2 linked regions of the Struthio camelus genome follow. The protein of the gene in region 2 binds, or shares a complex with, the protein of the main gene of each other region. Links are inferred from orthologs where the notes say so. Each region holds a gene or a part of one and is shown on either strand. Other genes may lie near its edges.

What was found. Proteins that work in one complex are often made in the same cells at the same time.
Region 1: KANSL3 (region 2) and KANSL2 share a complex: the UniProt entries of both Homo sapiens proteins name them as parts of the NSL complex. The link is inferred for Struthio camelus from reciprocal best matches to the Homo sapiens genes KANSL3 and KANSL2.

What each region holds. Positions count from the first base shown.
Region 1 is NC_090969.1:1,056,288-1,064,292, reverse strand, and holds the start of KANSL2 (KAT8 regulatory NSL complex subunit 2), read right to left. Parts: upstream 3,012-8,005; 5' UTR 2,820-3,011; coding exon 2,573-2,819; exon of another isoform or gene 2,502-2,572; coding exon of another isoform or gene 2,492-2,501; coding exon 2,441-2,491; intron 2,366-2,440; coding exon 2,104-2,365; intron 1,072-2,103; coding exon 893-1,071; intron 252-892; coding exon 137-251; intron 1-136. Other genes in the region: CCNT1 (cyclin-T1), read right to left, coding at 7,629-8,005. UniProt on the Homo sapiens protein: Non-catalytic component of the NSL histone acetyltransferase complex, a multiprotein complex that mediates histone H4 acetylation at 'Lys-5'- and 'Lys-8' (H4K5ac and H4K8ac) at transcription start sites and promotes transcription initiation.
Region 2 is NC_090968.1:1,247,874-1,254,820, forward strand, and holds the start of KANSL3 (KAT8 regulatory NSL complex subunit 3), read right to left. Parts: upstream 3,069-6,947; 5' UTR 3,018-3,068; coding exon 2,800-3,017; intron 609-2,799; coding exon 438-608; intron 1-437. UniProt on the Homo sapiens protein: Non-catalytic component of the NSL histone acetyltransferase complex, a multiprotein complex that mediates histone H4 acetylation at 'Lys-5'- and 'Lys-8' (H4K5ac and H4K8ac) at transcription start sites and promotes transcription initiation.

The sequences.
Region 1 (8,005 bases), on a different chromosome or scaffold from region 2:
CAAAGTCCAACTGCAACATCATTAATAACGTCATCGCTTTAACATAACCGCCATCCACCCTGGTATCACCCGGAGTTCAGGGCGTTCTGCAGGACACGCGTAACCAGCTAGGAGCCGCCACCACCACCCAACTTACTTCAAGGGATCCTCCTGGTCGCTATCAATGCTGTCAGCCTCGCTGTCCGGGTCCCCTCGCCACGTCTGGTCCACTGTGATAGGGTCCTGCTCGCCGTCGCTCCAACTGTCGTCATCTGCAAAGACAAGTCTCCGTGAGAGGCAGGACCCTGCCCTGCTTCCCAGGGCTTGTTACTCCAGCACAGGGCAGCCAGGGACCCCGGGGGAGGCTGTTCCACGGCAAGTACGGAGGTGAGCCAGCTCTGTCTCTCCTCCAAGAGAAACTTCTCCCCAACACAACGTGAGCGAGCAATATGGTACAACAGGAAACCCACCAATTAATTATGTGCAGCCAAAATATACAGCTCCTGTGGAGTAACATTCTTGCCTACTTAAGAACCACGAACCGCCTGCCGGCTCCCCACCGAGTGACCCTGCAAGATGGGAAGCTCACCACCGAGCTGTAGGGAACAGACACATCTAACAGCAGTGTTTGACAGGCACAGCAAGAGACTAAACAAGCAATGAGGGGAGCTTCCAGACACGTCTACCGAAGAGAACCCACAAGATTTTGGCCTGGTGATGGGACATACCTATAATGTGACTTATCTGCAGTCACTGGTAGGCAAAACACACAGGGGTGTGGGACACGATCTTTTGCCACAGACCCCAGGATCCCTTTTCTACCACTGGATTTAATAAGCAACGTTCTTGGCGTTTCCAAACAAAAAAGAGAACTCCTGGTTCTCTCTCACCGGTTTTCACGTTAAATTCTTACCTAGGATTCGACTGGCTTCACTGCGGCTACTCTCTGCAGTCTGGGAGCCCAGCTCTGTTTTGGCGTAAGAGCTAAGCTGGCAAAGGAGAGTCTCGCTTACAGGTCCAGGATTGGACTTTTTCATCTGAGCTTGGAGTGCCAGAGTATTCCTACGGGCATGTTCCGCGCAGAACGACACACTGAGCAAATAAATCAAAAACACGTTACGACTCCAAGCTCTCAGTCAGCCAGCAAAACGAACAAGCGATACAGTGAGAAACGCTCCCTGCCATTTGGAAGGCATACCCCACTCCACAGCTACCCTTCGTGAGCAAAACGTAACCATCTATCACCGGCTGCCGGTATCGTTCAGAAATGCCAGAGAGCCCCAAGTGGTTCGCAGACCACACACCACCATAAAACGCCACCTCTGGCACTGAAGCCGGCAGCCACATGGCACAGCAGCAGGGAGAGAAAAGGGCTTTTTACTTCAAGCCGCAGAGGTAAACTGCTTCCAAACATTCACGCTGGACTTTAAAGTTTTCGTGCAGAGCACGTTGGCCCACATTAGATGCATCCTTTTTATCGCAGAGGCACCAAGGGCAGAATCAAGACTGCTAACGTTCAAATTTCAGTGACCTCTGGGAAGTAAATAAAGGCCGACGCTCCAATAACTGCATTCTGCTGACGTGTTTACTGGGTGTCAATAATTATTCTAGGCCTTTTCATCTGTAACAGCTGGAACATTTTACACGCATCAAGGAACAACAAGCACAACCAGGTCATCAACTCCAAATAATACATGACCAGAGGATCTGTAATACATGACCAGAGTATCTGTGTTGAGGATTAACCCTAAGCACAGACACAGACAACTCGAGTTTGCCAGGGTTAGCTCAGGTGCAGCACCATGCGGATGCAACCGCAGCTCCCACCAAGCACCCTGGCTCCTGAAACAGCACAGCCACCTTCTGATGACAGAGGGCAGCAGCCTGATAGTCCTGCAGGACCAAAAAGACTCCATGCAGAGCTCTCAGTGCTCACAGTCTTTCTGCTGGATTAACAATGCTTCAAAAATGGAAAATCACTTGTCTGAGGTTAACATAAGCGCAGCAGCAGAATAAGGAAAAGGACCTGCAGAGACCTATGCCTTCACCCCATGGTACTCTTGCTTCTGCCTCTTTTAACTCTATACAGTACAGAGCAAAGGACTGGGAAATGGAAATGCTTACCCATCCTTTTTCTCTGGTTTGGGCGCAGCGTTTGGACACCGCTTTCCGTTCTTTGTTGAAACGTAGCTGCACTGCTTGAAAGGAGCAGTCCTGTCTTCCAGAATATGCTTAATACAAAACTCCTGCCCTTCCAGCCGTGGCTGCGAACACTGGCGGTGAGTAAAGGCACATGACAGAGGTTCCTGGGGCCGCGGCACAGGAGTAAGGCGTCCTCGACTTGACGGCAAAACATGGATCCGAATTCTGTTCATGCCAACACCTGCTAGAGAGATACAGCTCCAATTAAAAGAAATTAAGCAAACGACTGATAAAAAGAAAGAGCAGTCTCTGCTAATACCTGCCAACTTCTGAATAAAACTCTTTGTCCTCCTGGGACGAGAAACTGTTCCTACAGACATAGTTTCATGGGAAACTCGACTTCACAGTAACCCCAATTCGGCGGCAGAGGAAACATGCTTCACTTAGGTACCTGAGCTTCCAAGCGTTGCCACCTGCCAGCAGCGTGGCCAGGGGTACGTTTTCCAGACCCCCTTCCCTCTCTGCACAAACCCTCCACGCCCCAGCGGGCAACCGCTCCAACCCCACCATCCCAATATGCAACCCCTTCCTCCCAGTGCAGGATCTGCCACCCGATACAGAACCATTCCCTCCAGTCCCTCGATACCAGGCACCTTCCTCCCTGTGCAGGACCCCCCACCCCTCAAACACCCTCCCATATACACCTCCTTCTCGAGTGCCCAATCCTCACCCCCACCTTTGCACTCCCTCAGTGCAGCACCCCATGCTCCCAATTCACAGGTCACCAGCTAAGCCCCAGTATAGGATGCTTTCGTCCCAGCGCACCCCTAAGTGCTGGCCCCCCCTACTCCCGGGGCACCTCCATGCATGATTCCCTTCTCCCAGTGCACCCCCGTGCAGGTCCCCCTTCCTCCTGGTGTGCCCCCCCTGCACGGCCACCACCTCCTCCTCAGGCACCCCCCCGTGCATGTTCTCCCCCTCTCCCGGTGCACCCCTCGGGGCACCCCGTATGGATCCTACCCTCTCCCGGTGCAACCCGTGCACGGTCGCCTCCTCCCCGGAGCACCCCTCAGTGCACCCTCGTACAGATCCCCCCAATCCCGGTACACCCCCGGGGCACACCTTGGTGCATTCCCGTGCAGACTCCCCTCCACTCCCGGTGCACCCTCCCGGAGATCCCCCCCCTACCGGTGCACCTCGTGCACGGCCACCTCCTCCCCGGTGCACCCCCATGCAGATGGCCCCCCCCGGTACACTCCTCGGTGCACCCCATGCAGATCACCCCTCCTCCCGGTGCACCCCCTCGGGGCACCCCGTACACGGCCGCCTCATCCCCGATGCACCTCCCGGTGCACCCCCCTAGTGCACCCCCTGCACGGCCGCCTCCTCCCCGGTGCACCCCTCGGGGCACCCCGTGCACGGCCGCCTCCTCCCCGGTGCACCCCTCGGGGCACCCCCGTGCAGAGCCGCCTCCTCCCCGGTGCACCCCCCTAGTGCACCCCCCTAGTGCACCCCCGTGCAGACCCCCCCCCCCGGTGCACCGCCGCCTCCTCCCCGCGCACGTGCTCCGCCACCCGCCTCGCGCCGGGCCCGCGCATGCGCCCTCGCGCCGCCCGGCTGCCCCGGCGCCGCCATTTTGTCCGCGGGCGGCGGGCGTGAGGGGGGCTGCCGAAGGGGCCCAGGTGGCGGCGTCGACGCGGAGGACGGGGCGGGGGATCGGTGCCCGCGGCCGGGACGGGTGGGGAAGAAGCCACCGGGGGAGCGGGCAGGCGGCGGGGCCGGCGGGCTCTGCTCGGGGCGGGCGGCGGCGGCGCCGCCGCCATCTTACCTCGCTCGCGCCCCAGCCTGGCCGCCGTCTGCGCCGCGCGCGCCCGCCCGCCCCTCCCGCCGCCTCACTGGCTCGCCCCGCCGCCAATCCGCGGCGGCCGCAGGGGCGGCGCCGCACGCCGTTGGCCGAGCGAGCCGTCCCTCCGCTCAGCGGCCGGCCACGCCTCCTCCCCCCTGGGCGGTCACGTGGAGGGGGGGCGCGGTGGGAACCGACACGTGGGCGCGGGGCCGCCGCCGCCGCCGCCAAGGAAGAGCTCGGGACACAGCGCTGCAGCTCGGCTGCCTCCTTTGCCGTTCACTTTTATTGATGTGGATAAATACACAGCGAGAGACAGTGCCCGCGAGCGACCGAGCACCGGCGCCGTGCCCGGGGAAGGGGGGGGGGGGGAGTGTCCTTACCGGGCGCCCTTACCGGCGGCCGCTGCAGCCGGTGAGCGGAGGCAACGCAGCCGCGGCCCCGCCGCGGGGGAAGCGGGGTTGCGAGCACCCGGCAGCCCTGAGTGAGAGAGGAGAGACGGAAGCAGGTTTCGCATTTTGGCTCCGGGAAGGCAAAAAGCTCCCGGTGGCCGCGGGGCACCGGCTCGGCCGCCGCCCCCCCCCCCCTTTCCCCCGGGAGCTCCCCTGCCTTTGCCCCTTCCCCTGCAGGAGGGAAAGCTCTAACACCGGTTACGGGCTAGAGCAGGTAGCACACGTCTATCTGGTTTTTAAAAAGTTTCCCGAAGTTTAAATATTTATAAATGTTTTAAGAATAATACTCAAAAGCACCTTCCTTACCCTGGCTTCGGCTCTCGCTCCCAGCGCTCGCCCGAGCAGGGAAGAGGAAAGCATGAGGGGAGGCTCGTGTTACCCCTCAAGCCCCCCCATGGGGAGGTGGCAGGTACAAATCAGAAACAGCTTTAGATAGAAAAAGAAAATTTAGGTCTGCGGCCAGGTGTTCTCTGCCGGTACACGACAAACGCCCCAGGCTCTTTCCGGCAAGGAAGAGGGACGCACTTTGGGGGTGCCCAGGAAAAGCTTCTTCGCGTTCAAGAATATAGCCTGAAGCACGGCAGCAGGAAACCCAGAGACAGCCCAAACTCGCGTCCAATAACCTCCTCTGTCCTATCACCTGAATCCACCCTGGAGGTAAAGCCCCCGGCCACGCTGAGGGCCTTCGCGCATCCCCCATCTCACGCGCCCAAACACAACACCAGCTCACAGCCACACAAACCACAAGCGCAGCCTTAAACAAAAGGACGCAGAAATCACTCAGAAGAGGATTGCTTCTGCTGGTACCGCCTGCGAGACAGAGGTGCAGGGCACCCGTCTCGCCTCCACGCGTAGGCCTGAATGGGCACTAAACGCTTAAGACCTGCCCAGGAGACGCCTTCGCTTGTGGCAGATGTCTCCAGCCAGTGTGGCAGTGACCCTGCAGTTAAGGCTTTTGCAGCAACAAGAACCAGACGTGTAGCTCGTCTTGAAGATGCTCAAGTTTTCCAGGACACGCGCAGAGACTCACTAGCGCGTTACACTCGATACCTCCCTGCAGAGAAGGCTGCAGCTGGAATTGCTCCCCTACTGAATAAGGGAAAGGGCAGCACGATTCGCCGCAACGCCTGACAAACCATGCCGCGCAGGCTCTCAAAGCACCCAGGTAAGCAAGAGACAAATCTCTGCTGGGAGCTTCAAACATAAACTCTGTACCTAAGAGGTTACCCTGGTGGTTGACCAGCTCCAGCAAGCTGGCACTGGCAAGGGTTAGCATTACTGATTGCTCTTTAAAATAAGAGGAACTGGATGTAGAACAGAGTTTCACAAAAACATAAGGAGACAGTACGTTTATTGAAGTTTGGAAAAGTATAGTCCGAGAAGAAAATAAGTCGGCTTTTCCAAAACGTTAGACTGAAACTTCCCACCTCCAGCTGGATTCCCTGTTCCAGGATTTAGGTAGCAGTAAAAGCTAGGTTTCCAACTTGGAGAGATAAGGGTTGCGAACAGCAAAGTGCACACAGGATTCCCTGTCCAGCCAGCAGGATCTTGTGCCTGACACCGGGCCCAGAGCCGAGGAGGATCTGCAGTCGCTCAGAAGCTGCCCGCCTTGCCCATTTTCATCGTATTTCCCAACTGCGAGACCCGCGATGCAGCTCCTCTCAGATTAAGCCCTGTGCAACTACAGACCACATCTGTCAACGTATTTCACGTTTATACCCAGACTAGGCTCTACGTGGCTTACATGCTCGAAACACCATTTCCCAGGCTGTGGTCCAGCCAGCTCCACACCCTTCCTGCACAGCTGCCAGTGGCACCCTGCAAATGGACTCCTAGATTTCACGTTAAGCTGATATTCTGCCAAGGTATCATTCTAGCCAGCTCCAATGCAGCTCTCCGTCAACCCAGCCGGGCACCCCTTGGGCACAAGCCCACTCCGCATACGAGGCCCCTCGCCTCAGAAGCCGAGCAGTGCTGGGCCAGGCCAGCCACACGTGGGCAGCTCCTCCGGACCCTCTCCCCAAAACCGCCACCTGAGGTGACAGACAGGCCCTCAGCCAAGCCCGCAGTCACCAACCACCTCGCCCTGGATGTTCACATCGCACCAGCTGCCACGAAACACCACCACCAACACCCCAACGTTTCCGCAGCCCTTTCCATAGCCAATGTTAAGAATCGCGATCCGTAACATGACTTAAACGCACCCCGTTCACAGCTCTCCCCGTTCGCACCCCTGCTTCCCTCTCCCGCATCAGCTCCGCACCACCAGGAGGTGAGCGAGGTCTCACCGCGCCATGCTGACTCCTGGCCCTTCTGCTAAGCAGGTAACACGCAAGGTGAGGCTGGCGAGACTCTCCTTCACCATCACCCCAGAAGCCACAACCTCCAACATGCACCTTTCTCCCATGAACCGCCACCTTTCAGGGGGGATTTTTCAGCAGAAGCAACGTGACCTGCCAGGCAGTCTCTCGTTCAGCAGGAGGGGAAGAGCTGAGGGACAGAGGAAGATACCGGATCCTCCCCCTTCGCTCAGAGAGGGAGAGACAGCCTAAACGAGAGCCGCTTTTGCAGATGAGGAAACTGAAACAACAGCAGGCAGAGCAACTCCGAATTACCCCGAGTCGGCAGCAGCTGGGATTCCCTCCGCTGCCCCGGCCGAGCTGCCTCCAGCTCCTGCCCTCTCCTCGCACCACTTCCTCTGCTCCATCCCCGAAAAGCTCCTGAGCCACTTTCCATCGCCAACAGCTCGAACGGAGCCTCCTGACCAACGAGACGCAGCCTGAGCCCTTCACGAGGGTCCCCTGCAGCACCTGCCAGCATTACAAAATTAAAATGAACAAAAACACTAAGATATAAGTTACTGCTTAAATTATTTGTAAAATGTCTTAGATTTTCTGTGACACGTTTTAAATACCCCCCAGGGCCCCCACAGTACGTGATCCCCAGAGGGGGCTTCAGTTCCAGCAGGGACAGACCCCACCACTAACTGGAAGTCGGTGGGGGAGGGAGCGATGAACGGAGAAAGGGTTTCTCATCCTTTCACAGCTTCAACAACTCCGCGCTCTAAATACCAATAATAAAAGTTATAATAAAAATAGTTCTTCGTGAGGCAGTGGAGACCAAACAGCCCTTTCCCTCCCCTGCAGGGGCAGCCCAGGTTTCAGGCTCGGGCAAGCAGGCTCGTCTGTACAAACTCAGTAGTAAAAAGGGCTTTACTTGGGGAGCGGGGGGAGCGGAGGGGGGGGTTCCGACGGCAGCGGGGGCGGTCGGGGTTTGTCCGTGTTGGCGGCTCTGGAGCTCACGGCAGCCCGGGGGTTCAAGTACTCGCCACACGAGTGGAATTCGAAGCCAGGGGCCCCGGTGGGCTGCATGCCCTGCGCACTCAACAGCGAGTGCAACATATTGACTGTATCCTGGTAGTCACTGGCTTGGTTTGTGTTGTGCCCGTTGGCCCCCGTGGGACCCTTGTCCAGTTTGCCGTGGGGACCCCTGGCTTTGTTGGCCTGGGGTAAGGAGAGGCCACCTGCTTCTGAGCTGTGCCCTGGGAGATGGGCTGCCCCAGGCAGGTGGGGATACGGAAACTGCATGC
Region 2 (6,947 bases):
CAAGTTCATAAAGGCAATTGAGGCAATAAAGTGACCCGCTTTGGTCTCTCCAGCTTTCTTAAAGACTTCAGTGAACACAGAGAACGCAAAGCGAGCGTAGTCAAGCACGCGCTGCATTGGACCGGATTCAGCACGCCGACTCGTCCTCCCTAGCCCTCATTCACCGGCTGCAGACACAGAAGAGTCACCTCACTGCTCCGTACCACGATTTTCCTCTCCATTTCTGCTTTTTTTCTAAAATATTTATGGCCCCAACTGCATTTCACACAGCATCTGGCACTACACCATCCTCTGGCTGGCTGCGGCTTTATATACTAATACGTGCTGCAATGTAACCAGCAAGATGAGTCCCCGAAGCACAACTGCCACAGCTACTGCATGGATAGTTACTTAGGATCACAATTTCTTTCCTCTGCAACCCTGGCGCCCCGCGTTACCTGTTCACGTGTTCCTCCCAGTCATCTGGCGGAGGAGGAGCATCAGCATCCGTGCGCGCAAACATCACATGGCGCTCACACTCGTTCATCACACTGCGGGCTTTCTGGTTGTCGTAGAGCGGCACAGGCGTGGGCGTCACTGTTTCGACATCGATGGGGATATCTGCTTCGCTGTGAGGAAAATTTCACTTTAGAAAACGGGATGTAACCTGGAAAAAACCTGAGCGGATCAGAGAGCGCGCCTGATGCCTCAGGGATCTGTGTCTACCTGCCCCAGGTACGCACGAGACACCCGTGAACTTATTTTGTCCGTATTCCCACATCTCTCTCCAAAGATGCTGCGACTAAGTGGACTACTGTGGAATTGCACTCTTTGTAATGAGATCTTGCATTTGGAGAGCACACCGTGGGGACATGCTACACTATAAAAATCAAGAAGAATTTGTAACCAACTGGGACCTTGGGTCCAACTCTTTCCCATAAATCCTGACTCAGGCTGCAAGACCGAATGCTGTTCGGACAGTTGTTTAGATGGTGTGAATATAAACCACCGAAGCATCTTAGGCTTAATATTTAATAAAGTACCTATAGCTTCTGGCAGATGTTTTTAATCACTTTAGCCACTAGGCTTCATAAGCAGGTATCTTATCATTTCTGGTCTGAGACTAGGCAGTCTTTTTTTCCTGTTTTAAGCTCTACAAATGAACGTGCCTTAGAGGACCCTGCTAAGCCTGGTCTTCTCCTGCCAGAAGAGCTGCTGAGCAACTAATGTTTAAGAAAGCGAGTTTCGCGGCCAGCACCTGGGCCGTGACACAGGACAGGGAGAAGCTACTTCCTAGCAAAGGACCCAGAGATCATGGCCCAAAAGCAAAGGAGAAAAACACTGAAGACGCGAATGAGCCCTGATCCCAAAGACATCCCAAGCCGGGCACCAAATCCCTGAGCTCCAGCCTCAAGCCCATTCACAAGCCCAAAACCAAACGCTTGAGCCTTGACCCCCCCCGAATCCTGCCATGACCCCTCAAGCCCCATGCTGCGACCCTGAGCGCACCCCCATACCTCACCCCACATCTTCAGGCTGATTGCAACTCCAAACACAGCCGTAACCTCAGGTCTGTCCAAACCGCGCAGCTCCAGTCCCCCCACAGCACCCAAGTCCAGCCCCACAGCACGCACACCCCCCAGCTGCCCCCCAGAGTCCCCCCACTCCCCACTCCAGACCACCTAGCCCCACAGGAGCCCCCCACTGCCCCCTAGAGACCCCCCCACTCCCCACTACAGACCACCCAGGAGCCCCCCACTGCCCCCAACAGCCCCCCCGACCCTCTAGGAGACCCCCACTGCCCCCTAGAGATCCTCCACTCCCCACTATAGCCCCCCAGACACCCCCCACTCCCCACTACAGCCTCCCTAGCCCCACAGCAGGCCCCCACTGCCCCCCAGAGACCCCCCACTCCTCGCTACAGACCATCCAGCCCCATAGCACCCCCCTAGAGACCACCCACTCCCCAAAATAGCCTCCTCAGCCCCACAGTAGTCCTCCAGAGACCCCTTACTCCCCACTACAGCCCCCTCCAGCCCCCCAGAGACTCCACACTCCCCACTACAGCCCCCCCAGCCCCCTAGGAGTACCCGAGACCCCCCCACTCTGCTCTACAGCCCCCCCAGAAGCCCCCTAGAGACCCTCCACTCCCCCCTACAGCCCCTTAGAGGCTCCTACTCCCTCCTACAGGCCCCGTAGCCCCCAGGAGTCCCCTAGGGACCCCCCACTCCCCACTATCCCCCAGGAGCCCCCCAGGCACCTCCTACTCCCCCTTACAGCCCCCAGGAGCCCCCCAGGCACCTCCCACTCCCCCCAACAGCCCCAATACAGCCCCCCAGACACCCCCTATTCCCCCATACAGCCCCCTAGACACCCCCCACTCCCCCCTTACAGCCCCAATACAGGCCCCTAGACGCCCCTCACTCCCCCCTAACAGCCCCCCCAGACACCCCTCACTCCCCCTCAGCCGCCCCCCAGGAGCCCCCTAGACACCCCACTCCCCCCCAGCTCCCCAGGAGCCCCCCCAGCCCCCCTACAGCCCCCCAGGAGATCCCAGACACCCCCCACTCCCCTCCAGAAGCCCCCCAGACACCCCCACTCCCCCCCAGAGGCCCTCTAGAGACCCCCACTCCCCCCCTAGCAGCCGCCTAGACACTCCCACTCCCCCCGAGCCCGCCAGGAGCCCCCCCCAGCCCCCCTACAGCCCCCCCTCCCCCCCGACACCCCCCACTCCCCCCTACAGCGCCCTAGAGGCCCCCCACTCCCCCCCACAGCCCCCCAGACACCCCCACGCCCCCCCGCTCCGGCCCCGGCGCTCACAGGGCGCTGTCGGGCTGGCGCCGCGGCGTGACGAAGAGCATGCGGGTGGGGCGGGCGGCGCTGGCGTCGGGGTGGGCGCTCCAGGGCTTGGCGTAGCTGTGGTCCAGGCACACCAGGTCCAGCTCCCGCTCGTGCACCGACAGCTGCAGCAGCAGCGACGTCCCCATCCTGCGCGCCGACCACTGCAGGTCCCGCTCGCCGCCGCCGCGCTGCGACATGGCCGCTAGCGCCGCCGCCGCCGCCGCCCGCGCCGCATCCCGCGCCAGGGCCGGGCCGGGGGCCGCGCCTGCCGCTGGGGCCTGGGCCGGGGCCGCCGCGCCGCAACGCGCATGCGCCGCCCGCCCGGGGCCGGCTGGAGCGCGCACTGGAAAGTGCGGAGCGGAGTTTGAGGCCGGGCGGAGCGGAGCGGAGCGGAGGGCGGCGGGGCGCGGTCAAAGCGCGGAGAGCGGATGCAGGCGGAGCGGAGTGTGAGGGAGAGGCCCGGTGCGCGGGGGCACGGGGACACAGGGGGACATGGGGACACAGGGGGACACAGGGGGACATGGGGACACAGGGGGACACAGCGACATGGGGACACGGGGACACGGGGGAATAGAGACACGGGGACACACGGACATGGGGACACAGCGACACACGGACACGGGGATATGGGGACACGGGGGTACACAGGGCTATGAGGATATGGGGACACAGAGACACGGGGACATAGAGGCACAGGGACACGCAGACATGGGGACACAGTGGCACGAGGACACAGTGGCATGAGGACACAGCAGCTCAGGGACACAGCGATATGGGGACATACGGACATGGGGACATACAGACATGGCGACACAGGGACACAGTGACACAAGGACACAGCAGCTCGGGGACACAGCGACATGGGGACACACGGGCACGGGGTCACAGTGACATGGGTACACACACATACAGGGGACACGGGGACACGGGGACACCCTCCCCCCCCAAGGGGACATTGAGACACCAAGACAGAGTGACGTGGGGACACAGCCCCGTGGGGACACAAGGACCCAGGGGCATGGGTACGCACCCTCACGGGACGCCAGCACACACGTGGGGACACGGGGCACCCACGGGTACGGCCTGGCACAGTGACACGGTGGCACCAGCCCCCGCGAGTGCAGGCAGACACAGTGCTGCGGGTGCTGCAGGGTGCCATGGGGTGCTTTGGGGTGTCATGGGGTGCTGGGGGGGGTCACAGAGTGCAGGGGGTGCCATGGGGTGCTGCAGGGTGCCATAGGGTGCTGGGGGGTGTCAGAGAGGGCAGGGGGGGTGCCATGGGGTGCTGCAGGGTGCTGAGGGCACCATGGGGTGCTGTGGGATGCCACAAGGTGCTGTGGGTGCCATAGGGTGCTGCGGATGCCTTGCGGGGTGCTACAGGGTGCCATGGGGTGCCACAGAGTGCCATGGGGTGCCGTGGGGTGCTGCAGGGTGCCATGGGGTGCCGTGGGGTGCCGTGAGGTGCTGCAAGTGCTGTGGGGTGCTGTGGGGTGCCATGGGGTGCCATGGAGTGCTGTGGGCTGCTGCAGATGCTGTGGGGTGCCATAGGGTGCCACAAGGTGCTGCAGGTGTCCTGGGCTGCCATGGGGTGCCGTGGGGTGCTGCAGATGCTGTGGGGTGCCACAGGGTGCCACAAGGTGCTGCAGGTGCCCTGGGGTGCCCTGGGGTGCCATGGGGTGCTGGGGGGCACGCCACGACCTGAGACAGCAGCAGCAGCAGCAGCAGGCCCGGGGCAGCCTGTGCTTGGCACAGGGACCCTGGGGCACCGTCCGTCCCCCCACTGTGACCCGGCGTTCTGGAACGCGCCGCCGGCACCTCGCACCCCGGCTCGGCACCCTGCGCCCCGGCCCAGCACCCAGCTCCCTGCGCCGACATGCTGCGCCTGGTGGTGGCCAGCGCTCGCATCCCCGCGCCGCGGGCGCCCATCGCCGACGTGCACGTGCGCGCCGAGTTCAGAGGTACCCCAGCAGCTGGGACGGGGGACGGGACGGGGGACGCCTCCGGGCAGCACCCACCCGGCACGCACCCAACCTCCTCCCTGTCCCCAGGCGTCCCCAGGAGCACCCGAGTGGTGCCAGGCGAGCGCGACACAGCGTGGAACGAGGTGAGGCCACGTGGCTGCAGCGGTGGCATCAGCATCACTTTCCCATGATGGTGGCATCACTTTCCCGTGGTGGTGGCATCACTTTCCCGTGGTGGTGGCATCATTTTCCTGCAGTGGCAAATCACTTTCTTGCAGTGGTGGCATTGCTTTCCCATGGTGGCAAATCACTTTCCCATGGTGGTGGCATCACTTGCCCATGGTGGTGGCTTTCCCGTGGTGGCACCACTTTCCCGTGGTGGTGGCATTGCTTTCCCATGGTGGCAAATCACTTTCCCATGGTGGCGGCATCGCTTTCCCACGGTGGTGGCATCACTTTCCTGCGGTGGTGGCATGACTTTCCTGTGGTGGTGGCATTGCTTTCCCATGGTGGCAAATCACTTTCCTGCGGTGGCCGGCAGGAGCCGAGCCCCAACGCCCCGCGTGTCCCCGCAGACGCTGGTGTGGCCGCTGGGCGCCCGGCCGCTGGAGCCCTCCGCCGTCGTGGCGCTGTGCCTGCGGCAGTGGGGCCGCCCAGCCACCAACGGGTGAGTGGTGGCAGACGGGGACCCTTGCCGGGGCTGCCGCCGCGCTCACCGCCCGTCGCCCCGCAGGGACCTGGGTGCCGCCACGGTGCCGCTGGGGCAGCTGGTGGCGGAGCCGAGCCGCCCGCTCGCCCTGCGCAACGTGCCGCTGCTCGACCGGAACCGCCGGCCCACGGGGGTGAGCGCCCAGCACCTTCCTCCTCCTCGTCCCGGCGGCACCCGGCGGTGCTCACGGGCACGTTGCTTCGCAGTGCACCGTCACCCTTAGCTGCTCCTACGTCCCCGCCGGGCACGAGACGCCGCGGGCGCCCAGCAGAGCTGCCGCAGGTGAGGACGCCTCCTCCCGCCCCGGCGCTCGATTTGGCCGCGGGGACGACAATGCGCCGTCCCCTTTTGCTGTGCCTAGAGGTGCCGCGCGGGACCCCCTGGCCGAGCCCCGGGAGGGAAGCGTCGGGAAGGAAACAGGATTTCCAGGTAACGCCGAGCACCGGCGGGGAGACTGCGGCAGTTTTTTCCCGGCCGGGCGGTCGCAGCACCCATCGCGTCCCCGCTCCAGGTGCGAGTGCGGATCATCGAAGGGCGCCAGCTGCGCGGGAACAACATCAAGCCGGTGGTGAAGGTGTTCATCGGCGAGCACGTGTTCCGGACGAGGATCAGGAGCGGGAACAACCCCTACTACGACGAGGTGGGCGGGAAACAGGGCGGGGAGACGGCGGGAAGCGGCGCCGGGGAGTGAGCGGCGGTGATTGCGGCTGCCGGCCCCTTTCTCCCCAGGTGTTTTGCCAGAATTTCCGCGAGACGCTCGCCGGCCTCTTGGAGCAGCCCATCCACATCCAGGTAGGACGCGGCGGCGGGCGCGGGTGGCCCCGGCGGGGCCGCAGCCGATGCCGGAGCGCGGGGCGGCCGGTCCCGCAGGTGCTCAACTCCCAGGCGGTCCGCGCCGAGTCCGTCATCGGCGTCTTCAAGGTGAGGGGCGACGGGGTGGGGACGGACGGGGCGCGCCGGAGGAAAGGGCCGCCGTCTCACCTTCTCACCCGCACCGGCGCGCAGCTGGACGTCGGCAGCGTCTACAGCTCACCCGGTAGGTGGGCATCACGGCGGTGGCGGCAGCGGACGGGGTCCCCTCGGTGCAGCTGCTCAGCATCTGCCTCCGGCAGGTCGGACGCTCGCCTGGAAGTGGCTCGGCCTCCACCACCCCGACCGCCTCGACGCCGGCCTCCGAGGCTACCTGCGAGTCAGCCTGAGCGTGCTGCGCGCCGGGGACCCCGCGCCGGTGAGCGTCCCTGCAGCCAGCCCCGCTCGGGCGGGCGCTGAGCTTCGCCGCCGCCGCCGCCATCCACCCCATCTCTTCTCCGCCAGGACCAGGCGAAGCCAGCCGAGAGCGAGGACGTGGAGGCCAACCTCCTGCAGCCCTCCTCGCTCCCCGCCTGCGTGGCAGCCCTGCAGCTCCGCGTCTACCGGGCCGAGGACGTGCCCCAGGGTGAGCGCCGGCGAGCGCGGGG